2 linked regions of the Drosophila melanogaster genome follow. The protein of the gene in region 1 purifies or fractionates together with the protein of each later gene. This does not show direct contact. Each region holds a gene or a part of one and is shown in the gene's direction. Other genes may lie near its edges. The genes, in order: Drat and Ssadh.

Region 1 (9,382 bases):
GATTGTACCATTATAATAATGTTGAAACTTTGTACTATAGCTTAGAGTCATGCTGAAAAAGCCGCGGAGCAAGTATGATGTAATTATTGTTATTAATTACTATTAAAAGCAAACAAGTTGTTTCGCCTCAATTGTGCTGAGTGATAAGCTAAAGTAATTTTAGCCAAACTCTTCAAGGTGGCCGAGTGCAATTGAATCGATGATAAGCGTATCTCATAATTATTTTCACAATTCTTTAAACTTTTACATAGTCCAACTTAGCCTTATCTAATTTCGATGATTATATTGTAATTACTGTGTTGGTTTATATATGACAAATCGGAACATACATATGCAGGAAACACATTGAATAAGATTCGTCAAAATAAACTGATCATGTTGAATAAATAACGAATAAACACGTAAAAAATAATCTTTAGATCCAGCAAACGCTCTAAAATCTGGAAGTCTAATTTGCGATTTGTCTGGTGATGCTGTTACGCAGATAGCAAGGTAACAGTAGCTAATGTTATTCCTTAAGATGGAAGAGGACCAAGCGGATCAGATTAGGGGCATGTTTTAAACATGGACTGGGGATGGCTGCGGTCGATAGGCGGACTGAAACTTTGGAATGGAATTATAAATTAGATGCTTGGTCACTCTCACTATTGTTATTTTCAGCGTGTACCTAAAGTGCAACGTCATCGTTAGATCGGAATTTTCACAGAGCTTATCTTAGATCCCGCAGATAGCGGGAATGCTTGTGTAGTCTATATGTATAGATTTGGTGATGACCCTACTGCTGCGTCAGGGTGATACACTTTTCGGAGCCGGCGGCAGTCGGTTTGTCGGTGGTGCACTTGCATAAGAATCCGAATTCAAATCGGAGTCCGTTAATCAAATGAGATGCAAATGCAGACGCGGATTTCGCTTAACACTTGACCCTCGTCGCCCATCACACACATATATACATGTATGCAAATGGATAGTTTCGCCATGTGGAGCTCTTTCGACAGCTGGGCGAAAGTGGCTGCTGGAAGTTTCGACGTCGCAGCAAATCTGCGAAATCCGGACGCAGGTCAAACTACCGTCCGGGGGTCAAAGTACAGACCTAATTGCCCCGCGATGCAAGTTAGAGTCGCTACATGTGGCTACGTGGGCTTGGGCTTGTGCTGGGGCTGGGCCCATTAGCTCATCGGGACAAGTGAAACCCAGATAAGGCCCAATAGCAAACGATGACCCCCATTTAGTGGTGGGAGCGGGTGCGGGGCGGTGGCACTCAGCTGCGACGTGTTCCGTGCGATTCTCACCTCGTTGAGGAAGGCGGTGACGTCGTAGATGTTGTTGTGTATGAGCAGCCAGGTGTCCTTGTTCGTGTTGTGCTTGGCGACCTCGGCCCGCGTGAAAGTCTTTGTTTCCTCGCTCGACATGGTGATCACTTGTTGATTTCTACTGCGCGTTTGATTTGTGTCACGGAAAAACTATTTGTCCAGCCTCGCACTCTTCCTCCAGGGCGCACGGTCTCACAGAACTGGTGGCCGGCGGTCACACTGGCGCGCAGCAAGATGGCTTGTTTACACCAACGCCTATCGATATCGAATAGTGACCGTTTAGACTAGCCAGATTGTTTGTGGTATGAGCACATATTTTATTATAATATATAATAGCTTATAACTTATTTATCTAGCTTATAATTTGTTTACAGCACCCAATACACAATATATCGGATTTGGAGCGGTGGTTATGCGATGCGATTGTATAGTGGATCACGGCTATTTTACCATCGACATGTAAAGAATACTGCATACTTTTGGGCGCGATAAGACCAGTGCTCCAAAGCACCTCATTAATTTTGGCGCCCAATTTGAAATGTGAGAAAACCCTTTAGTGAAATAAACGATTCAAATGAAATGTACAAACAAAATTCGTAAGCAAATTTATTTTGGGCAGACCATTTCATTAATAAAAATGTATTTCGAGCGGTATCCCAGCGAACTGGTTCCACCAGCGACGAATGCGCAGACTCGGATCTTGTATTTACACTCAAGCCCTGCCTTTATTCCATACTCGGCAAAGGAGACTTCAAAGTCAAACGTATCCTGCTGTACGCCGTGCGGCTGCGGCGCTCCTTCAATAAAAACAGTCGACACGCATTGTGAAGAGTTTTCCAAAAGCTACAGCGCTGTCCAATAGCGCAATTCAAGTTAACAACAAACTAAGCATAAATATATTGATAAGTGACGGCGGGTGTGCTTTTGATACGCAGCGCTTTTAGCTTTTTTACAAAGGTAAGTTCCTTATTACGCAATTGGCATCCTGGAGTGGCCTACGTGCGGTGGCCATTTTCTTGGGTCCGATTTCCTTTCTCTGGTATACATCCACCACTATGTTTCCTTTTCCGCTTCGCTGATGCGTAATTCAAGTGACGGGATTTATGCGTTAAAAAGTTATTAAGTTTTGCCAACTTCAATCATGCCCTTGGATCCCGATTTACGCGTGTTCTGGAGCCCCGTGGGTAAACAACTCTTATGGGGGACAATCCAAAACTGAGTCGAGTGGCCCGTAAATCATTCAGATTGTTTGTGTCTTCGGGTTATCAGCACCTGGAGATTTGACTGGCCAGTAAACACTTACCAGCCGGGGGATACCTGTGCAAGGTGTTAGGAGAAGCACCCAAGCTCTGGATTTATGTATCCATTGCGGGTTATATGCGATATTCTTGGGGTAGGCGTAATGTGATTGATTACTTGTCAGAATAGTGGAGTATAATGCCAAAATTAGGTGTGGGTTTGGTTTATATATAGATATAGTATACTTATTATAACCCATTTAAACGCAATCGACGATTGTAAATTAGTACCACACACGCACTACTGGAAAACAAGAAAAACAAAGTCGGAAACTCAGATCTTGATTGCGATCGAAGGCATTATTCTCACTCACACAAAGGCTCTAAAAATAGCCCTGTTCCTGCATATTTTTTACACCGAGAGTTCACTTCGGTTGGCCGCCAGCGATTCAATTAAATTTTATGTCTCATTGCTGCATAATTGACGACATTTTCCGTTTCGGGCGGGGAAAAGGTGAGACAGTGGTCAACATTTTCCTGGCGCGACAGCACCACTAAATTTGCATTGCCAATCCGTCATTAGACTCGATTGATTCCGCCATTAAATACAATTGACTAGAATTGACGAACAAATGTTTTCAATTCAAGCGCAACAAAAAAAATGAATAAATAAATAATTCAGTAAATATTTTTCTTGCTCGATGATCTTTTGATCCGTACATCGAATGGGGAGGGGGGGGGGGTGGTATATCTTCGAGGGACGGATTTTAATTGGTCAGAAAAAGAGTTCGTTCAGTCGCTGTTTTTAATTGAACACATACTGTTTTTAATTGTGGCTTTTGCGAATTTCGTTCAACGAATTGTTATGTCACTTTCGCTTTCACCTTCGACCAGATTAAGGTTAAACAACTTAAATATCGCCACGAAGTCTTAATGTTTATAAATGTAAAGTGAAACGATGATAAATCTTATCTTATTCTTTGTTGTGTTTTTGCAAGAAATTTCATTGTTAATGATTTAATATACATATTTGATGTTTGCATATGGCATATGTAAGTTAATAATAAGTAAATGTGTACTTATTCATTGATATAGGGGTTGTTAACACCAATAAGTAACTTGTTTTGACCATTTTGCTGAAGTTCTGCCTAATTATGAAAATAATTCTTCTCAGTGTTTGAGGCTGTTGATTAACCCCAAAAAGTAATACATACATATGTATAAATGTAAATATATACATATATGTATGTACGTACATACATTTTTTGGTAAGGATGCAAATGTGTAAAACGTAACTGCGTAAATGTAAGGCGTATTTATAGCGGCTTATTTACGCATTGTTGTTGTGTGGGCCGTACAAAGAAGAACAACAAAGCAGAGGAAGGATGCCCATTTATGCATTCGTGCTGCGCCAAGGAGCGAGCGAGACAGAGAGACAAATTGAGTGAGGGAGAGAAAAGAAAAACAACGCGCTCCCTCTCTCACTCACTCACTGTCTGGGCATGCCACTCAGGCGTGATTATCATGCAGCGAGCACGTGTACATGACTTTGGTTTTGTTTTGCTTGCCGCTGCCCCCTCACCAACGCCTATCAGTTTCTTCTCAACGTTTCATTACCATGCAAACATCCACCGTTCCTCGCTCCGCAAACACAAGCAACAACAATCGCAAACAGTTAGAGGTGCGCACACACGACATACGTAGATACACAGATGCATACATAGATACAGCAAGCTAACAGTTTGATGCATTGATTGAGATAAAGATACAAAATGAGAGTACCGACAAAAATAATTTTTCTTACCAAAAAGAAGATATGTAACTAGATTTAGCTAAATACCCAGAACCTGAAAAGCTTAGAACATTCGCTTTCATAAAGTAACACTGTAAGTATCTATCTATCTATACACCATGCATATGTAAGTTGTTTGTTTATTTGGCTTTCGAGTGAAGGCCGCACGACGCATTTTAATTGCATATTGCAAGCATTTGATAAATTTCCACTCGAGGCAGACCGCTTCCATTTTTCCATTTTCCACTGGAGTCCAACGCTTTGCTTGCGATTAACTGTTACCACCCGCCGAGAATGATGAGAATCAAATCGTGACGTGACTAATGGGGCATCCTCCTCCGATCTGCCTAGCAGCTTTCTAAGAAGAACATATTGTCATCGAAAGTTCTATAAACGGATCCGATGGCCACTTGGCAACGTGCTCTAGATGGCTTCCGTTCTTGGAGGGGTTTTTGGCCAGCTCCTGGACTTTGTTTTGGCCATAAATCTGTCGCACGCGTTTGCCTAATGCATTTGTTGTTCTTTATTAAATTGTTTTGATTGCTCTGCCTGTGGGCTTGTTTTTCTCTCGACTTCTGCGTCCTCCGTGTTAATTCGAATGTGTAAACAAAAGATAAACAACAATCTGGTTCAAGTACACTGCTACAATATTGGGCAAACTGATATCAACATATGTACATATCAATAGAAGAAGTTCAAAAACCAATTAGAGGAATTTATGAATGTTTATTGAAAATATATGCAAAACATTAAACAAAAGCAATAGAATGTTTATTTTCCAGTGGTGTAAGTAATAGTTGTCTATAAATAAATGTGAAATGCTCCGAAATTCACAAAATATGGAAATGCATTTCTATAGATGCAAATGCGGCCATGCAATCCACACAAATGAATACACTCATTTCAAATGTTTCACGCATTCCCTGCGTGCCGTGTATGTGAGCACACAGTGGCGTGCGGATGGTTTAACCAAGGGGTTAAGGATTACTAAGCTGAGTAAGCAGAGTTTTGGAGTTAAATTTAGCAACTAAGAGTGCTGTTGGAATTTAAACTTAAGTTTACATTTTGCAATCTAATGTAATCAGGGATAAATGAATTTATTTGATGCTTTTTAGTAAAGGTTTAAGAGAGTTTTTCAAAACTGAGATAAAAAGGTTGATAGTATTCCGTGAGTAATCTTTTACCACTATCTTTAAAAACGAAATTTATATGTATGCTTATATGTAAACCCACGAATGGCATACAATATTATTTGTTGGATAGATGAATTTGCGACCCCCTTTGCTGGGCCCCTGTGCGTGATGAGTGCGTGTGTGGCTGTGTGAGAGTTCCACTCGTTCCATTTCGTCACCGGCTTTTTTGCTTTTTAGCTGCCGCATCGAGTGAAGCGGCTCAGATGTTCTTTGGAAGTGCGCTGGTCAAGTCGTCGGAAAAGCGCCGAGAAGCAATTGCAGCTAAAGAAAAATCTAGCCAATTCACAAGTAAAAGTGTTAGTCAGTTTGTATAATAAATACACAACGCAGTTGAGTTGCAGTAGTGCAAAAAAACAAAAAAAAAAAAAAAGTGAAAAAATTAACAGAGAACAATTACGAGGACAGCAAAATGCCGGTCGATATATGCAGTCAACCGCACAATTTGCTCAGTTCAATGAGGTAAACTATTAAACGATGCTGATTGAATTTTCCCCATTCTCCCCAATCGAGTTTTCCAATTACCATGGCCTCTAAAGTGAAAATGCAATATGTATCGGGAAAATATCTTGAGTCTTAGGATTTCTTTTAATTTTTATTAGTTTTTAATAGCGTGTTTAATTTAGAGATTTTACTCACAGTTTTGAGTCATAAATTCTCCCAAAAAAGTACAAATGGGAAAAAATTGTGTAAATTTTAAGTATAAATAATTGTTTTTTGTTTTTTAATAATGTGGCATTTATTGCTAGCTGGTGCACTGAGATAAAAACTGATCCCTTATGGTTTCAATTGAGCACTTCCAGAGTTGAAATCATAGAAAAGTAACGAAAGTGCAAGTGGAGTAAGCTCTGATATGATACGATTCGTCACCATCTCTTATCAAACTAATTGAAGCGCCAGACTTCAGACCAGACTAATATCCGATATTATATCTGATATCTTTATGGCCATGGCTTTCCGGCTTTGCTGTATATTAACCAAATCTAATGTGTCCGATTCTAGCTCTATCTTTTGTCAGTTTATTGATGTGGAGTGATTCGTATCTGGATTGTCAGCAAGTCCAATACTTGACCTTTTAGATGTGTGCTCACTGTAATTACAGCACACAAAAAGTAGCTACATTAATGATATTTACATCGAGAACTCTGAATTGTGGCTGGCATTGAAGATCAAGATAGTCGTTTAGAGTGTTTGTATATAGGAAAGGCGAAATAGAACTGCCATATCATGAGGCGGCATTGAAACTATTGAGAACTACGCAATGCGACCTTGGATATGTAATACGCAATCGAAGCTATAGCAATCAAAAACAATCAGAGATATACATATCTTTAAATATATTTAGCTATCAAATAAAGGGTAATTCTCAAGGGATAATCAATTAAAAATCAGAATATATGTACAAAGATACAAAGATATATTTTCGAAATGAGCAAGCCAAGTTTAGTGACCATTTAATTCTTAATGGCAACACCTCTAAATATGATGTATCCATTCCTTTGTCTGATTGCAGTGGAACAACAGATACCTCGTTGTCGCTGAACTCATTGTCCCTGACTTCCGTTCTGCCGCCAACGGATCCCGATCACCATAATCCACACAGTACACACAGTACGCACAACATGAACAAGCTGTGCCGCCAAGTGTCAATTGAGTCGCCCGGTCCGGGCGCCAAGAACTGCGTCTTCAACTTCTTCGTGCCCATCGAGGACACGCCGGCGTTGGGCGCCCGCATCCGGATCGTTTGCGCCGGAGCCTGCTATCGTCGTCGCGATCGCGCCAACTCCATCACCAGCATGTCCTCAGTGTCCTCGGAGCTGAGCGACTACTGTCCGTCGGTGAACTCGATGTCCTCGCCCGCACACCAGGGCATCCGGGAGGGCTCCTTCTTTCCCGGCTTCGAGGTGGCCGGCGTCATCGAGTCCCTGGGCTCGGAGATCACCGAGGCCAACAACCGTGGCCTGCGCATTGGACAGCGCGTGATCGTCTATCCGTTCGATGAGACCCCAGCCGGCTATGCCGAGCTGCTGGTCGTGCCGGACCTGAAGCACGTGGTGCCCATTCCCGACAGTCTGCCCATGGAGGTGGCCGCCATGCTGCCGACGGGCGCCCTGCTCGCCTGGAATGCCGTCTTCAAGGCTCAGGCCGTTGTCACACAGATTCTCAGCCAGCGGGCTGCCACGGAGCCGAAGCGGAAGCCCAAGATCCTCATCGTGGGCACTGGCGGCCTGGCACTCTGGGCCGTGCGCATCGCCTCCTATCACTTTGCCACAACTGGAGCCGACAACGTGGACATCACAGTGGCCAGTCTGCGGGACGAGGGCTTCCGCCTGGCCACAGAAATCAAAAAGTAAGCATCTTGAGGTCCCTCTGATGTGTCATGCTCTAACCATCTAACATCCTCCTCCTTCCTCCAGTGTCAGCGTGGTCCAGTGGAACGAATGCCTGTACGAGCCGCAGCTGATCGAGCGCACCAAGGACGTGTGCGGCGGAGCCGTGGACGTGGTCATTGACTTTGGCACAACCTCCAGGAGTCTGCACCGCTCGATGCACTGCTTGTCGAAGGGCGGCGTTGTGCTGATCAGCGACGAGGTGGCCGAGAAGCTGCTGCCCAAGTTCTCGCGCCTGTCGGAGCAGTACCAGCAGGAGATCATCGCCATCTCGAACGGCACCGCCGAGCAGCTGGCTGAGCTGGTGGAGCTGGTAGCCAACAAGAAGATCGAGCCGCCGCCGCACTCCGTCTTCCCCTGCGAGCAGGCGGCCGAGGTCATCGCCAAGCTGTGCAACTCCGAGATACCCGGACGCGCCATCCTCCGTTTCCACGACATTGAGTAGGCGTGGAGGAGGATATGGTTCCCCATCAAGGCATTAACTCATTTAATATGGATATCTGTTAGCTGTATTCGGAAGACAACCGACAAAACCGACAAAACAACCTGCAACCTGCGACACTCTCGAAGCGGATTCAGAAATGTGCTTATTTTGTAGCCGGTCATTGTTTTGTAACCTTAATTTTGGACTGCAGACGAACTCCTCGTTTTAATTGATTTAGCGTTTTAGGCATTTTTAGTATTATGTACATATAGATTGTGATTTATTTTATTTGTAAGCCACCACCATGATTCTACTTTTGCAAAGTCACCCATCACATCGCCATATTAGCCGGAGTCAAAATTCGGCGGCTTCTTCAATGATTTTCGATTAAGCAAAAAGCCCAGCAGAAGCGGATTACAAAATAAATGTTATACATACTATACACGAAATTGTTACGCATGCGATGCAAATGTTTGATTCAATTGCTTGATGTTTGTACTCATTACGTACCCAACATTATACTCTACTCTTATTCACAAATAAAAACCATTAACTATCAATCCATGGGGGCTGATCTAGGTTGCAACTGCTTTTCCTGATATTTCTTAGGTGCCTCCGTAGGATGGCCAATTTGGCCTCTATATGCTAATCTTTCTTTAGCATACTGTTCCTTTTTTCAAAAGATATTGTAGGCAATATCATTCGATTACAAAGAGTATATCATCGCTAGCATAAAATTGATGTATAGATATCAAATTAGTTTCAGGACAGACTAGTTTTAGCCGATGAAGCTTAAGGTGCAGCAAATTTTCACTTTAAAAACGTTTTTTTTTTAGTTTCAAATGTAACAGCTATTTTTAAAGGTGAGCAACAAACAGATGTGGCAACCCCATAAGCGCTTCTCTTATGGTTGGCAGCCCAAGCCGGACTGATTGGTGTTGGAAAACGCCGCAGGTGGAATTGCGCCAAAAACTGTAAACAGCGCGGCAAGCTGATCGCAAAAGCAAGGGAGTCAATCTAGTGAAGACCCAATTGAAT
Region 2 (15,577 bases), on another chromosome or scaffold:
TACCAAAAGGAAGCTAAAGACAAACGGATATGCGCTGCACATCAAGCAACTGCTTTTTGCTGCCCAGTTTTTTTTTTATTTCGTATTTTTTCGGTGGTTATTGCATTGCTTTTTGGGCTTTTTTGTATCTTGGGCGAAAAATAAATTGTGCGACAGGTGCGACAACGACAGCCGTCGAAGAAGAAGAACAGGCTCAAACACAGAGATGCATCTTTGGGCCAGAAGAGAGTCTTCCACACTGCAAGAAGATATTATACAATTTCCAAAACTGCATTCATTATAAGCTATACGTCTTGTCGTACTTAAAAAAAGGGGAAGAATCATAAATTGTTGCTATTTAGTACTTTGAGAACAAAGAATACTTTCAAGATGCTCGACTTTTTGTGGCAGTGCACCGGAACGATCGTAGCCGCAGGAAGCTTTTTGTGTGGGAGCGAAGCTTTCGCATTGATTCCGTCTTTATGGGTCTGTTGTTTTTCGGCATTTTTACAGCTGCAGCATCGATAATTGCCAACCCATCTTACATGGACCGAAAAGATGGTGATCAGGACCCAAGAATCAGCGGCAGCAGCTGTTACTTCCGCCCGAATGGATTGGAATGGACCGAGCCTGTAAGGGATTCCTCTTCACTTGGCGATCGGCGGCCAGATCCTTGGCGCATTCATCGATCCTTTTTCTAACGCTAATCCTGTAGACGAGCCGCAGACAGAGGATTTGAACTACCTGTACCTGTTTTGGTCCTCTTTACCCGACTGTTTTCAAACTTCAGGCTTTCAGTCTGCATTTCGATCTTTATTTTGATCCGCTGCGGTGATCTACATGCATGAACGAACCCACGATCCTCCTTCGTGGCCTATTGAATTAATGTGCGGCATTAGGCGGACCAACAGGTTTGGCCTAAGCCTTTTCGGGCTGCTCTGCTGGTAGAAATGCATGCATACGTTTGATCCTACGTGGTCTTGAGTTTTCTTGAGTGAAGATCGCGAGGCGCGCTCACGTAGCTAATAGTGTCCTAAATAACAGGTGTGGAGTGATTGGTTCCACTATGATCCTTACACCGATTCCTGGTAGATCACGTAGCTAATTGATGAGGAATAAGTGCGAACGAAGATCTCTACCAAATCCTCGGTACAGTTGTGTTCAGCGGTGCGGAGTGGTCGAAAGGCAAGTAAACAGGGCCAATGGCAGATGTTTGCATATCGCCAAAAGATCGGTCAGCATTTCTTCGTCTCAGCCTCCTTTCCCTTTTTGCTCATATTTTGCATTTCGAAATGCAAACAGTAGAGGAAAGCAGAAATAAAAGCCGAAAGAAAAACAACATTTCGAGCACAATGGCAGGGCAAAGACAAAAGGACACTGGTCCTGCACATCCTGCCGTGATTTACGATCCCAAAAATGATCGATCTCGAGCGGCAAACAAATTTGCTTGCGGCTTAGGCCCAAAAAAAGGACAATAGGCAGCAGCACTAAAACGGATGGATCATCTCGATACATTGGAACCCCTCTGTGGCAAATTGCATTTGCAGGATTCTTGCGCAAGACCGAATTTCACGACTCATTTGAGCCAAGGTGAAAGTATTTTTGATCGATCTCTCGCAATTTGCAATCTTGTCCGTGGTCCGCAATGAAGTTGTTAGCGCGAATAACCCTCCTCGGGCAACTGGCCCATCCATCCGATCGATGGTGTGCAAATTTGGCATTATCACACATATGGCTGCAAAGCGATCTAAGCGCACAATCTTCCAGTAGTGAGGCACTCGAGCATTCAATCTTGATGGATTTGCATTCTCAGCTGGGGGATAAGCCGCCAGATCAGCGGGAACATTGACTTAATAGCGGGATTTATTAGCAAGGCCACTAAACATACGTTATTAAAAGGATTACAACAAATAAGCCAGATGATGATAAAACGTCTTTTAAGTATAAAAAATCTGAGTGACTAGTTTCACATACAGATTCTGTTAGCAATGGAGATTAAGTAGCCCAACTGAGGCGTCAATGAACTTCACCTACGCCTGGAGGTGAAGCTAACCCCATCTCGCAGAGAAGATCTCACCCAATCTTCCACTGAACTCCAATGATCGCCGTTGTTTTACGAGTGCTGATTTATTTGTTTGCAGTGCGATCACCTCTGTTTGTTCAATACAAACAAATGCCAACTTAAACTCGACAAAAATGTAACAGAAATCGTATTTGCAGCGACTTGAAAGCAAATCAAGCGATCGAAAATCGAAATGGTACGCAAAGTTCAAGATCGCCGGTGAGGAGATCCTTTATTTCTTTATTTTATTTTTGGTCCACTCAAGGGCGTTGCATGAGATGATCTGTCGAAATTTATGAGAATTTGCGTGTAAATTAAAATAATAATGAAAAGAAAATGCCGCCAATGAAGTGGGCTTTTGTCTTTGTCGATTTAAAAGACGAAAAAACTTCCGGTTTTTACAAAATTCGATAGTCGTAATTTGATATGTTTATGCGTTTCGGGCGATTGGCATAAACTTGGCGAAAATAAGAGACAACAGCTGCCGTGAGCTTTTCGAATGATCATCGCGATCATCTCGTCCTCATCCCGCTTCCTTTCCATTATATGTTTATTCCCATCCTTTTTGGCCAGTTACAATCGCAGACAATTAAGCGGAAATGCGATCTGAGAAATGAGAAATGTTGCACTGCACCGGATTTAAATGTGAATGCAATGCGGTGGTTCCAGAACGGAGGCATAATTATGCCCACAAAGGCGAAACCAACTGAGGCCTACCCAAATCAAAAACACAACAAGCCAACGTGGAAAAATGCAAAGAAAACGGACCGGGCATCAGGCATCAGGCAACAGGGATCAGGGACAAGGGCAAGGACATGAATAAGGACACGGATAAGGGCAGGGCCAAGGACAGAAACTGGGAAAATCCAGCGTGAGAATCCCTCGACGACGCAATTGAACCAGGACTACGCAACAGACTTTTCTGGTATCCACCAGGAACAGCACCAGGCGTGCACTCAAAGAAATTCAGCACTTAAACTCAAGTAAGGATCTTTAAAAGATCATGGTATTTTAGTAAAGCGTTTTCCAAGTGAAATGTATAGAATAGCATATTTTTTAGTGATAAAATGCATGTATTGTAGGTCTTGGAATTTCCTTTTCTTAAGCATAGTCGCTTTTTTCTTGTGTACCATCCTGCCATCGAACTACCCCATAGATGGAGATGCTGCAAGGGGAGGGGGAGGGGAGGGTGGCGCAGCAGAGCCACCCCATTTCCGCCCTGCCTTTGGCATTGTGCGTTGGGGTTGGGGTTGCATAAATTATACAAAACAATGCTAGCGCACACATGTATGTATGATTCATGCCAGGATCAAATCCCAATGCGTAGTTCGTTCGATTGCTTTTGAAACTAGGTTTTACGCGCTTTTAAGCGATTTTCGGTACAGTTTTTCCAATCCTAGCAGTTGGTGAAGAGCTCAGGTCTTCCATTCTACGCTGATTTGCTTTTACACTGCAAGAAAAATACCTTCTTCTGATAATAATGTAGATTATGTACATATGTAACTTAAAGTAACATAAGTAAGTTAAGAAATTGTATTTAAAAATGTTTATAAGTAAATACTCTCTTCATTTGACAATTATATTTGACAGTTATGAACCAAAGGAACCAAATATAATTGCAGTGCATTTGTGCTTATTTTCTAGTTCAAAATCAACCCCAACTTTTGGAGATCCAGGTTTCGCAATGAGTAAGTCGCAATAAATGTACCAAATTTGAACTTTACCAACTTTTGGGGAAGGAGACGCGAACGGAATGCGCAATTTAATATTTCCTATCCAGAGACAACAGAAGGACGAACAGAAGGATTATGCGCAGATAAATATGAATGGTCGAAAGGAAGTTCGTAATTAAAATACCCTTAGATAATAAATTATTGCACAATGCTGTTTTGAAATTACAAATCAAATGGATTAATCTAAACTTCATATATTTACACTAGCAAAATACAAGTTTGAAACATAACACTCAACTCCTCTGCTCTGCAGGATACCATAATCCCGCCGAAATCAATCAAATTATCGGAAATGAAAAACTTTTTGACTTGGGAAATTTTCGAAATTTTCTTTCACATAACAATTTAATTTGATGCGCCTGGAAGAAAGATATTTTCACAAAAGCACTCGTTAGGAAAGCAATTTTCAATTCATTTCGAAGGGTATTATGATACGCCTAGATTTCGGAATCTTTAATATTCGGGTGATCGGTTGTGTGAATTCTTTGGGGTTGGCCAGGCGTATTTTCGTACATCGAAGGACAACAATGGATACGGATAAGGGATCGTTTTGTGCGGCCCAAGGACAACGAGATCGAGTTCCAGTGCATGCCAGGACACGCCGGGGAAAGTGGAGAGGTACACAATGGGCGGCGGAATTATGAAATAATAATCAAGTAGGGCATAATCATAATGCCGTAACCTTGATGCGAAGGTAAACAATAATTAAGCCAGGCTGCGGGGACCTTCTATACACAAAAAAAAAAATAAAATAAAGAAGGAAGAAATAGGCTCGTTATAGGGGAAAGGAGAGGGTATCCTGCGCCGGGATCGCAATCACAAGCGCACACGTGTTGCTTCCACCCGGACAGAGCTAATCTGCTGACGCATTCAGGACGCCTCGTTCAGGTTCAGGATGGGACATTCGAAATTAAGGAATCTTGGCAGCTGCTCCGACCTCGTCCTCGTCTTCAGCTCCGTCTCTATCCTTCTGCGTCCTTCTTCGATTTCCCTGCGACTTGACTTGCCAGCAGCTGCAGATGCGATCGTTAAGCACACGTGCCAAGGTGAGTCAGCAGGATCTCCACCAGGATCCGAATCCGAACCGGCCAGAGGGATAGGAAACAGGAGCGACAGAGCCCACATATATCTGAAAAGCTGTTATCCTGCAAGCCGCGGCCATTTTCGAAGATTAACCCTATAAAAGCTTAAGCTCTGCCCCATTTATATTGCCAACCCCAAGGCAAATAAATATATGATACCAATGATATTAAGTATTCCTTTATAAAGAAGCAATGCTATATCAATTAGTTATCATATAGAGATACTTGTGCATAACTAAGCACAAAGTAATGAAATTCTCGAATAGCATATTGGCTATTGGCTTGGGAACTATATTACCCGCCCTCCGTGTCCTCAATGGGTTAATTTGTAACCCATCCTCGGATGGCTGATTCCGAGGAGCAGCTGCTGCTGTTGCATGAGTCGATCACGACACTTATCTGTTCGGCGGCTGTTTTGTTTTCGTGCCATCTTGCCACATTGCCACATTGCCAGGACAATTGGCAACCAGTTTGCGCCCTAAGCTTGCGAGTCCTTTGTCCTCGCAAGAAAGCTGCCAGGCAACCAGATCAGATCCCAAACCGACAGCAACCGAACAACAGATGTTTTATTCTTATTCTCGCGTTAAGGAACGTGTTTCCAAACATGATTTATGGCTCGACTGCCTCGCGTTAGAGAGTGTATTGGAATCCTACCGAAATGGAAAGAGACGGAGCATCTTTGCAACGAAAGAGATGGCCAATGCCACATCATTGTTCCCATTGACCAGCTGCCAGGGCGGCGTCTTGGGCTTCCACAGGGCCTCCGCCTCGAAAGACATAGAAAACAGCACAGAAGAACCGGTCCCAAAGACCATGATCCCTATACTATACTATACGATACGATGCGATCGCATCTTTCCAGCTTTGTGTCGTTTTTATGGCGTGTTATGATTTCGTATTACAATTAGCCGGCACAAAAGGCACACGGCTGCCTATTTCTGGGCTGTCAATTGTTTGCATTCTATAAAAACCAGGGGCCCCATAAATTCGCCGGCCATGGCAGCGCATTAAAACTGTCAAAATTGTGCAGTTAAGTAGACATTAGATTGGTTTCGAGTGCCAACGAACTGACTGACTGACTGACTGCTTCATTAGATGGGTTCCTGATGAGCCTTCGCTGAAAAGGTAACACTGACAAAATGTTCACCTAATAAGCAGATACTTTTATCTTATTATTCAATGATTAGCTTTTTAAAATACGCATACATATCTTCTTAAAACATAAAAGATACAGGGGTTACGGGACCGAAGAGCTCTTCTTAAGGATTCTAATAGTATGTTATGCTAACTAGGTATACTGATTTTGTGATATATCAACTCATGAGTATATGAAATATTTCTCTCCGTGCATCCTGATCTTGATCAGTCTGGAATGGGACATGGAAACACACCTCCCGGCAGCACTTAAGACAAATAACTTAAACACCTATCGACAGGAGCCGGCAGCATTCACGATTGCTTCCGAGCTAGACGCATTTTCAATTAGTTTTAAATCACAACTAATTGAATTCATTCCGTAGCTCCAGTTCTGGTCCGGGGATGCGATCGCCATCTGGACAATCTTATCTTAACAGTTATGATGTCCGTGTGGCGGCCGCCTGTTTTGGCATTCTTAGCCAAAATTTATTGACAAAATTTGCAACACAGATTGCGGGCTCCTGGGCGAAGGGAAGCCCCAACCAGGTGAGGCGCCGGAGGAGGAAGCTCCATGACCAGTAGCCCAGTAGGCAGAACCTACCGCTGTCTAATGCTAAATGGCACTTAGCAAAAAGAGTATTAAGAAAAAGATGAATGGAGCTTAACTTCTATTTGAAGTAAAATGTAGAAAATTATTAGTATTATAATATTTATACAAAACATTTTCTGGCTTATCCTTAAAACTTTATGGAAAATGTGGTTACAAAGAACTGATAGTTGTCTGAATATCGGTCTAATTTTTACAAATTTAAGCCCTAAGTGCACACATTTTTCTAAGTGCTTAGGATGGGTTAGGAGACCCACCTTCTGACAGAACCGCTGCCGGCATATGTGAAATCTATGGTCGTGATGCCTGGCTACAAAGTCATAATAAATGGAGCACAGTGCTCCACGTTGGCGGCGCATGCAAAAAAGATCGGGCAGATCGGGCGAAAGGCACCGATTGTCCGGAGATTGCTGGGACAAGTGGCGCTGCCTTAAAATCGCTGAAAAGCAACGACTAAAAATGGGAATCAGGAAGTTTACTTGGAATGGACTTTCTTTTTTTTGTCGTTCCCTTTTTCTTTTTGAAAGTCAAACGGCTGCCGCCCAGTTGCCTGACAGAAGGTGATTGCTGCATAACTGAAGATCGATAGCTCGAAGTCATTCGATAACAGCAGGCGAAATATTTATGGCAAATCAATATATGATATTTAGGTTCTTATTTTTTGCGTTATGGATGTACTTCTATTAAATATTTTATATTTTTAAAAGCTGAAAATATGTTTTTAATATCCGCTGCGAGTAAATTAAAAAGTAAATGTTATCAAGCAGTTCTTTTTTTTCAAATGGTACATTTTTCGCGGTTCACTCGCGACTGCCAGTTGGCAGCTCCTAAGAGCGCGAACATCTGCTGTTGATAGTAAAAAAACGAGTTGGCAGTTTCTAAGGCTCTGCTGGTTCGGAGCGTAAAAAATTAAAATCAATTAAATCCAATCAAAGCGCCCAATAGAAGCTAGAACTGCAGCTGTGGACAGCAGAGAGTCTTCCCGATAACGTCGCAGATAAGAGAAACGCCTCTAACCCCCCGCAGGTGATAAAAAGGTGATAAAGCAAGCGAACTCACATACCGGTTAATAATCGATTAGTAGCCAATTGTTAATTGCAATTAGTTTGTTTATTTCTAGCAGCCGGCAGAATGTGGCGACAGCTCAGCGGAGTCGCACGAACAGGAAGCAGCCTAAGCCTCTGCAGAATGCGAGGATTCTCGGCACTGGTGCAGGATAAGGCCCTGGTGGATGGCGCCTGGGTGGATTCCAGCAATGCAAAGGCGACCTTCGAGGTGCGGAATCCTGCCAATGGTGCTGTCATCGGCAAAGTGCCCAACATGACGGTGGCGGATGCCCAGAAGGCCATAGACGCCGCTAAGCAGGCGTACGAGTCCAAGGAGTGGCGATCCCTGACCGCCAAGGATCGGTCCAACCTGCTCAAGGTGAGTGCCGGGATCACTCGTTATCAGGGGTGCTGATTGTTGACCCCACAGATAAAGACCATCATATAATATGATGGGACTATAGAGTTGGAAAGTTCGACTGTAGGTCATTGTCATTATTTCTTCCTCTGGTCTCCAAGTTACTTCTGCTTATCTAATCTAATCTCGTCTTGCAGAAGTGGCACAAACTGATCGAGCAGCACTCGCAGGAGATAGCCGAGATAATGACGGCCGAGTCGGGCAAGCCGATCAACGAGTCGAAGGGGGAGGTGGCCTACGGAAACGCCTTCGTCGAGTGGTTTGCAGAGGAGGCCCGTCGCATCTACGGCGAAATTGTGCCCAGTGCATCGCCCAATCGCGAAATCATAGTAATGAAGCAGCCCATTGGGGTGGCGGCGCTGATTACGCCCTGGAACTTCCCGATGGCTATGATTACGAGGAAAGCAGGAGCCGCCCTGGCCGCAGGATGTACGGTCGTGGTGAAACCTTCAGAAGACACTCCTCTTACTGCCCTGGCTGTGGCCAAATTGGCAGTGGACGCTGGCATTCCAAAGGGTGTGATAAATGTGGTCACCACAAACAAAGCGGCTCCCATTGGCGATCTCTTCTGCAAGAGTCCCGATGTTAGGGGTATATCCTTCACGGGCTCCACTGAGGTGGGCAAACTGCTGTTCCGGAACTCTGCTGATGGCATCAAAAGGATTTGTCTCGAGCTCGGCGGCAATGCTCCGTTCATTGTCTTCGATTCGGCGGACATTGAAAAAGCAGTGGATGGCGCCATGGCCTCGAAGTTTAGGAATTGCGGACAGACCTGCGTCTCCGCCAATAGATTCTTTGTCCAGGACAGCGTCTACGATAAGTTTGTTGGGCAGCTGAAAAAACGCGTGGAAGCTTTGAAGATCGGAGATGGTCAGGGTTGCGATGTGCAAATCGGACCACTGATCAACGAGATGCAGTTCAACAAAGTCAGTGGCTTTGTGGAGGACGCCAGGTCGAAGAAGGCGAACATTATTCTGGGCGGACAGCCGTTGCCCGACAAGGGATCCCTTTTCTACGCACCCACAATTGTCACAGATGTGCCACCCTCGGCGCAACTCTACTCGGAGGAGGTCTTTGGTCCAGTGGTCTCCATCATACGGTTCCGAGACGAAGAAGAAGCGGTAAAGAAGGCAAACGACACCAGGAGAGGCCTGGCCGGTTACTTCTACAGCGAGAATCTGCAGCAGGTGTTCCGGGTGGCCAAGCGACTGGAGGTTGGCATGGTCGGCGTCAACGAAGGCATCATCTCCGCAGCAGAGGCTCCGTTTGGTGGCGTCAAGGAGTCCGGTGTCGGACGGGAGGGTTCCAAACACGGTATCGACGACTATGTGGACATCAAGTACATTTGCATGGGCAACCTCAAGTACGACTGAAGTCCGATGGAGGGATCACCCCCACTGCTTTCATACGCTGTCTTCCACTAGAATGCGATTGGTTTATTGTTGTCTAATTGTAGAATAACACGCCGCTATATTAATAAATGTGCACAAAGTCTACCTGAAGCTAATAGATAATTTCCCTTTTTTAAAATAGCCCGCCTCACCTTTCGATTAATTGGGATTGGTTAACAATCGCTTTAAATTGACAAGAAACCGATCATAGAGACATCGATATCCGGGAGTAATCGATTTTTCTCCACCTCTGGGCAGACTATCGCCATCCCCACAGCTGTGCGACAGAGACAGAGACAAAATTACAATGCCAAATGACAAAATTGTAAGTAAATTGTTGATAAAAAATTAAAAAGTGCATTTAGGGTGGAAACTAAGCGAATGTCTTATTGGTGAAGTGTGTGCAGTGAAATTGGTCAAGTGTTTCCCTATAGCTACCCACCAAAAAAGCCGGCAAACAATGTCGGTTTTCCAGTTCGCTGGCGTTTGTTGTTGTTGCCTAAATGTATGGAAAATATATTTAAAGTGCATTTCAGCCGGCAAAAGCGAAGCATATAATGCATAATGAACCCATTTGGAAGCACTCCCGGCAGTGCAAATCCACTGCAAGTCCCGAAATGCGGCCAAAGGTGCTGGCGGTGAAATTGAATGGTACCATGACTTGTAGATTTTCCACTGAAAGAGTGCAGTCTAGGCGGCAGTAGGACTGAGGGGAGTGTGCGGGGGTTTTGAGACCAAAAACCGATCCAAAAACCAAATAAATTATTAACAATTGTTGGCTGCAATCCGCCTGGGGGAAATGCATTTGAGGATATTTCTGTCTAATAAAGCAATTTCTGGTTGATAGGGTGCTACACTCAGAAAAATGTCTCTGCGTAAAATTAATTTTTGAAATATATGTTTTGTAAAATAAGAAAACTGCACATACCAGTAAATAGCACAACTTAAAATTTTAAATACAAATTTAATATAATTTTTTTGTTTTAAAACTGCATGCAGCTTGTCTTTCAAAATGCTGTTTTATTTTTTATTTAAAGCTCATACAATTACAGATCCGAATTTACATATACAGGCATTAGTTCTCTTTTTAACTATGCACTCATTTTGGCAACGAATTGCATTTGTTTTTAATTGCGATGCCAGATAAATTTCCGCAGTCAAGTTCGCGCCTTCATGACGTACAGTTCGAAACACTAAGCAAAAAGCCCTACAGGCTTTGGTAGCTAATAGCTACACTTGACAATCCCCCTTACCCAATCTACCACCCACCACCGCCCACACAAGAGCCCACCCAACCGCCCATCACCCAGTGACCCGTCCAGAAAGTCCAGAAAATGGCCTGTGCACCACTGCTGCTCGAGCAATTCATCTACAAGAAGCGCAATTTCGCCTACGCCTTTGTGCGCCATCGTCTGTTTGTGTTATGTAAACAATCGGTTGGATCAGAAATTGCCAAATTCACCTGTCCTAGTACTAATTAGAATCTGTTATTCATTTGTTAATTCCAGCTAATTCGCGTTCAGTCGGCGGAGGGCATCAAACGCATCGAGATCTCGCCCAAGTCAAATCTAAAGCATCTGTACGACAGCGTTCAGAATGCCCTGAAGGTGGATGGATTTGGTCTCTTCAAGGAGCGCAACTTCCTCACAGAGCTGCAGGCAAGTGGCTCCCAGCTGGTGGGGACTTCCTTGAGGCATGGCGACATGGTCTACTTAAAACAGATGGCTGGCACATCATCGCGCGTAAGTTGATCATATAGAGCAGAACGATCGGGGACTAACCTGCATTTTTCACCACTTCTCAGCGCACTAGCACCACTGTCCTGGACAGTCAGGCGTTCAAGACTAGCACCATTAGCAATCCAAACAGCGCTCGTCCATCCTTCAATGTGATCGAAGATGACGTGGACCAGGCTCTGAGCAAGGCTGATGGCACCATTAAGCGCGAACGTGATAGCAAGCTGTAGGCCTTGATTATACAATTAATTGTAAAATTAAACTGATCAACCTATAACTTTTTGTAGGTGCCACCACAATGCCAACGGCCGTTGCGTTCACTGCTCCGCACTGGAGCCCTATGATGAGTCCTATCTGAAGGAGCACAATATCAAGCACTTGTCCTTCCACTCGTACATACGAAAGCAGACATCCGGCATGGATCAGGGCAAGTACTTTGTCTTCGACGACATCAATTGCCGCATCAAGCCGGGATGTCGCGAGCATCCACCATGGCCCAAGGGCATCTGCTCCAAGTGCCAGCCGTCGGCCATTACGCTGAATCGTCAGACATATCGCCACGTGGACAACGTCATGTTCGAGAACACTAAGATCGTGGAGCGCTTCCTCAACTACTGGCGCACCACAGGACACCAGCGCATGGGATATCTGTATGGGACGTACGAGCAGCACACTGATGTTCCGTTGGGCATTCGGGCCAAGGTGGCTGCCATTTATGAGCCGCCACAAGAGTCTACCAGGGATTCGATCAATATTCAGCCGGATGAGTTCGCCGACGATGTGGATGCCGTAGCCAGTGCGCTGGGACTGAAGAAGGTTAGTTAGTTATAGACAGTAGCTATGTAGCATTAGTATTGACTTTTGTGACATTTATAGATTGGTTGGATTTTCACTGATCTCATCACGGACGATGCGAGTATCGGCACTGTCAAACAGATCCGTGGCATCGAGTCGCACTTTATTACGGCCCAGGAGTGCATCACAGCTGGCGAGCTGCAGAATCGACATCCAAATCCGTGTAAATATGCCTCCAATGGCGTCTTCGGCTCTAAGTTTGTGACCATTTGTGTAACAGGTAAGATTCACGATTTAATACTGCTTAATGAACTAGTACCAAAATAGTTTTTAACATTACAGGAGATAAAACCAAACAAGTGCACATGGAAGGCTATGCGGTTTCGGCTCAGTGCATGGCTCTGGTGCGCGATAATTGTCTGATACCCACTAAGGATGCGCCCGAGCTGGGCTACGTGCGTGAATCCACGGACAAGCAGTATGTTCCCGACGTTTTCTATAAGGTAAGTTAGAAAGTCTCCCCCCCATTCAAGCAAAATCAGTTATCGGGCAACCTTTATTGAATTACGTTCACACATTTACACAAACAACTTCCATATTTAGACATCAATACGAATGGGATTTGGTTTTTCAGTTTGATACATGCAAAGAAAATTTGGGTGTCAAGAGCAACGCCAATTCAAACATTTGACATCTAGAGGCTTACATTATCTTGGATTACGTTGATTTATTTATGGAACAACTTCATTATTTTCCTTATCCTTCTCGGTTTGTACTTCTCATCATTGCTCTGGGTTCTCCTTCAAACGTTCATTTTATTTTTCCTATACCTAGGACATTCATAAACAATGTTGTTATTTAGCGCATATTCAATTGTTAAAATAACTTTCTGAGCAACTGCCAAGCCAATCACAATTTTCCAGTTATTACCCTTATTTTTTTTTATTTATTTTTATTTTGCCAAACTGTTTTGTTCTATCTAATGCTTAATTGTGATACGCGTTTTTATTATTTTGGAAAATATAAGATTTCGATTTGATTTTTTTCTTTTCAATTGAAGTTAATCGTTGATTGATTGATTACTTAAAATAATTTAAAGTATAATAAGTCTACAAATTTCGTAAAATTGATTTCGATTTGTTCCTAAAAAGATTCTTTGCCTTCCTTTACATCGCTAAGGTCATATTATTACTTGATTCCCTTATTTTTATGGATGGCTATTCTTGGCGTTCATTATTTCATCCATCACAAACATAGCCTTAGTTATGATCACATCAAATGCATATTTAGACACCGAAAACTATCTCGTTTATTTACTTATTGCTAATAGGTTTATTTCATATTAATTATTAACTTGAATTGACATTAATTACATGTCAGCTATGTATTTGGATTTCACCTTACTCGTGGTTTCAAATTTTTAAGTTTTTATTGTAGCTAATTTACTATATCCAGGTATCGTCGTAGCGCTCCAACGCACATTTAGTGTCGTTTTCCTTAAGCTAAACTTATTTAAATACTCAAGGTCTGTTACAATTTCCACCTTGTCCATGAATCTGAAATGTTTATAGATCATTGATAGTCTTTTTTTTATTTAAAATAGCATCCAAAACGTTTCAATAAGTTGTAAATTGTTTATAAAAATTCTTTCTTTCTTTGTTAAAAAAATTGGCTTCTGTTGCTGAAAATGTCGAGTTTCAAGTGTCTTACATTGATCGTTTATTTTTACAAAATTTATACCAAGATTTGCATTCCAAGAATAAAATAGATATTGGGTGGTGTTGTACATTCAAAGTGTTTAGGAGCTTTCGGTTTGATACTGTTCGATAAGTAGGATTAGCTAATGGATCAGTCGGACTTATTATTGGTTTAAATGATATTCCCCACAATTCCGGATAATGCTCCTAAGGGCCGGGCGTCCTAGAGCATTGCCACTGGCCGCAATTCGGTCCACCAGCTCAATGCCCTGGACAATGAATCCGAAAATGGCGGTGAAGGATCGCATCTCGTTTAGCACCAGCCGAAATTGGCTGCCCACAAATCCACTTCTGTCCTGTCGCCGCTGTCCCCTGCGCATACCAACCGTTCCCCGATGTGCCGGCAATCCCGTTTCGTCTGGCAAAAAGTATCTGCTCTCAAAGGCCGAGTGCCCACCGCGTCCGTTCTGCGATTCAAAGTCGCCGGTGATGATGCTCTCGCCTCCCCAGGCCTGAAAGACAGTGCAGCCACGATAGCCATAGCCCCGCTCGTGCCGCACCAGCGCCCCAAAGTTGTCCGCCATCCGGGGAGCAGCATCAGATCGCACCTCGATTAGGACCCGTCCGGCCAGTTCTCCTGCTATTTCCATGTCCAGAAAGTAGATGGGGTAACAGTGAACGATGGGCTGACGCACAATGCTTACCGATGAACTCGTACCGCCATCCTGTCGATGATGATCATGGCTTTGTTGACCAATTAGCTGCGGCTCCACCGAGTTGACGAGAATCGCATCTGGCTGGTAAATTGAGTGGGTAAGCTGGTGTACTTGCTGCTGCTGCTGCTGCTGTTCCTGTTGCACTTGCTGCGGCTGCTGTTGCAACTGGCGCACCAATTCTCGAAGTCCATATTCCGTGTCTAGAGCAATATAATTGCTTTGGCTGTTTGTACTGCTGCTGCTGTTCGGCGACGAGGAGGATTCGTGTGAACCATCATACGGAGGTTGACTGAGCGTTCGAAACTGCTCGAGTTCGATCTGCTGCACATAATCCAGAAGTTCCACCTCCCGCAGGCTATTATTGAAATGCGGAGGCACCACAGCTCGCCGCGGTTCCGGCAGTAATTCTGGATCCGGTGTCAGATTCCTGTGGCGTGGAGGAATCATTTCGCGCTGCATCTCGCACCAGTAGGCGTACACACAGTAGTTGGTGAGGATGAGCGCCTGCGGTGGCCCCACATTGGCGGGAATAGCACCGGGCCGACGATGACTGCGTAGCCGTGCGATCCTGTTATTCAGAGTCTCAAAGTCCAGGACCTGCATCCCGTTCTCCTGAATTGCGGCTTGCATTCGACATTGAAAGTGCACCTGGTCCAACTGGCGCTCGTATCGCTGCCGCTGTGTGGCCAAGTGGGCGAGCACCTGCAGCATTTTTGCTCCAGTAAGTCTACCGACTCGATGCAGATCCCGCTCGGCTAGTCGATGCCAACCGATCATCGAGGCCGCAACCATGCTAGAATGGTGTTCCAGCATCTCACGCTTCACATGCAACTGAACGCGGTAGCACGCCTCGCACAGCTCGCGTAGTAGATCCATTTCGTGGGTGGCCAACTCTTTGGCATGGACAGCCGTGCTCTTGATCTTCCTCAACTCGGAGTTGAGCAGTTGGCTGATAAGGTCATGGTAATCAACCTGGCGCACCAGGATATGGTCCTGGTGCAATGGGACATCCGAGCAGGCACGGCACAGCAGACGTTGGCAATTGTGACACCACGTGGAGTTCGGCATGGCATGGATGAAACAGTGCTCCGCACTGGTGGCCAGAAAGCTCTCCACGTTGATGTCTTCCACCCAGTTTTTCGATGGGCTGCTGGGTGCTTCTTCAATAGACATTTCAA

The links.
Region 2: the proteins of Drat (region 1) and Ssadh purify together in Drosophila melanogaster (affinity purification with mass spectrometry, with the first as the bait; one large-scale study listed by BioGRID). This does not show direct contact.

Annotation. Positions count from the first base shown.
Region 1 is NT_033778.4:7,525,638-7,535,019, reverse strand, and holds Drat (death resistor Adh domain containing target), read left to right. Parts: upstream 1-5,729; 5' UTR 5,730-5,942; coding exon 5,943-5,992; intron 5,993-7,043; coding exon 7,044-7,880; intron 7,881-7,947; coding exon 7,948-8,365; 3' UTR 8,366-8,785; downstream 8,786-9,382. Other genes in the region: Cyt-b5 (cytochrome b5), read right to left, coding at 1,290-1,409.
Region 2 is NT_033777.3:25,618,792-25,634,368, reverse strand, and holds Ssadh (succinic semialdehyde dehydrogenase), read left to right. Parts: upstream 1-7,444; 5' UTR 7,445-7,637; intron 7,638-7,705; 5' UTR 7,706-7,731; coding exon 7,732-8,025; intron 8,026-8,201; coding exon 8,202-9,437; 3' UTR 9,438-9,564; downstream 9,565-15,577. Other genes in the region: CG5071 (uncharacterized protein), read right to left, coding at 13,848-15,577; Npl4 (nuclear protein localization 4), read left to right, coding at 10,790-10,891, 10,964-11,197, 11,260-11,417, 11,479-12,007, 12,068-12,266, 12,329-12,489.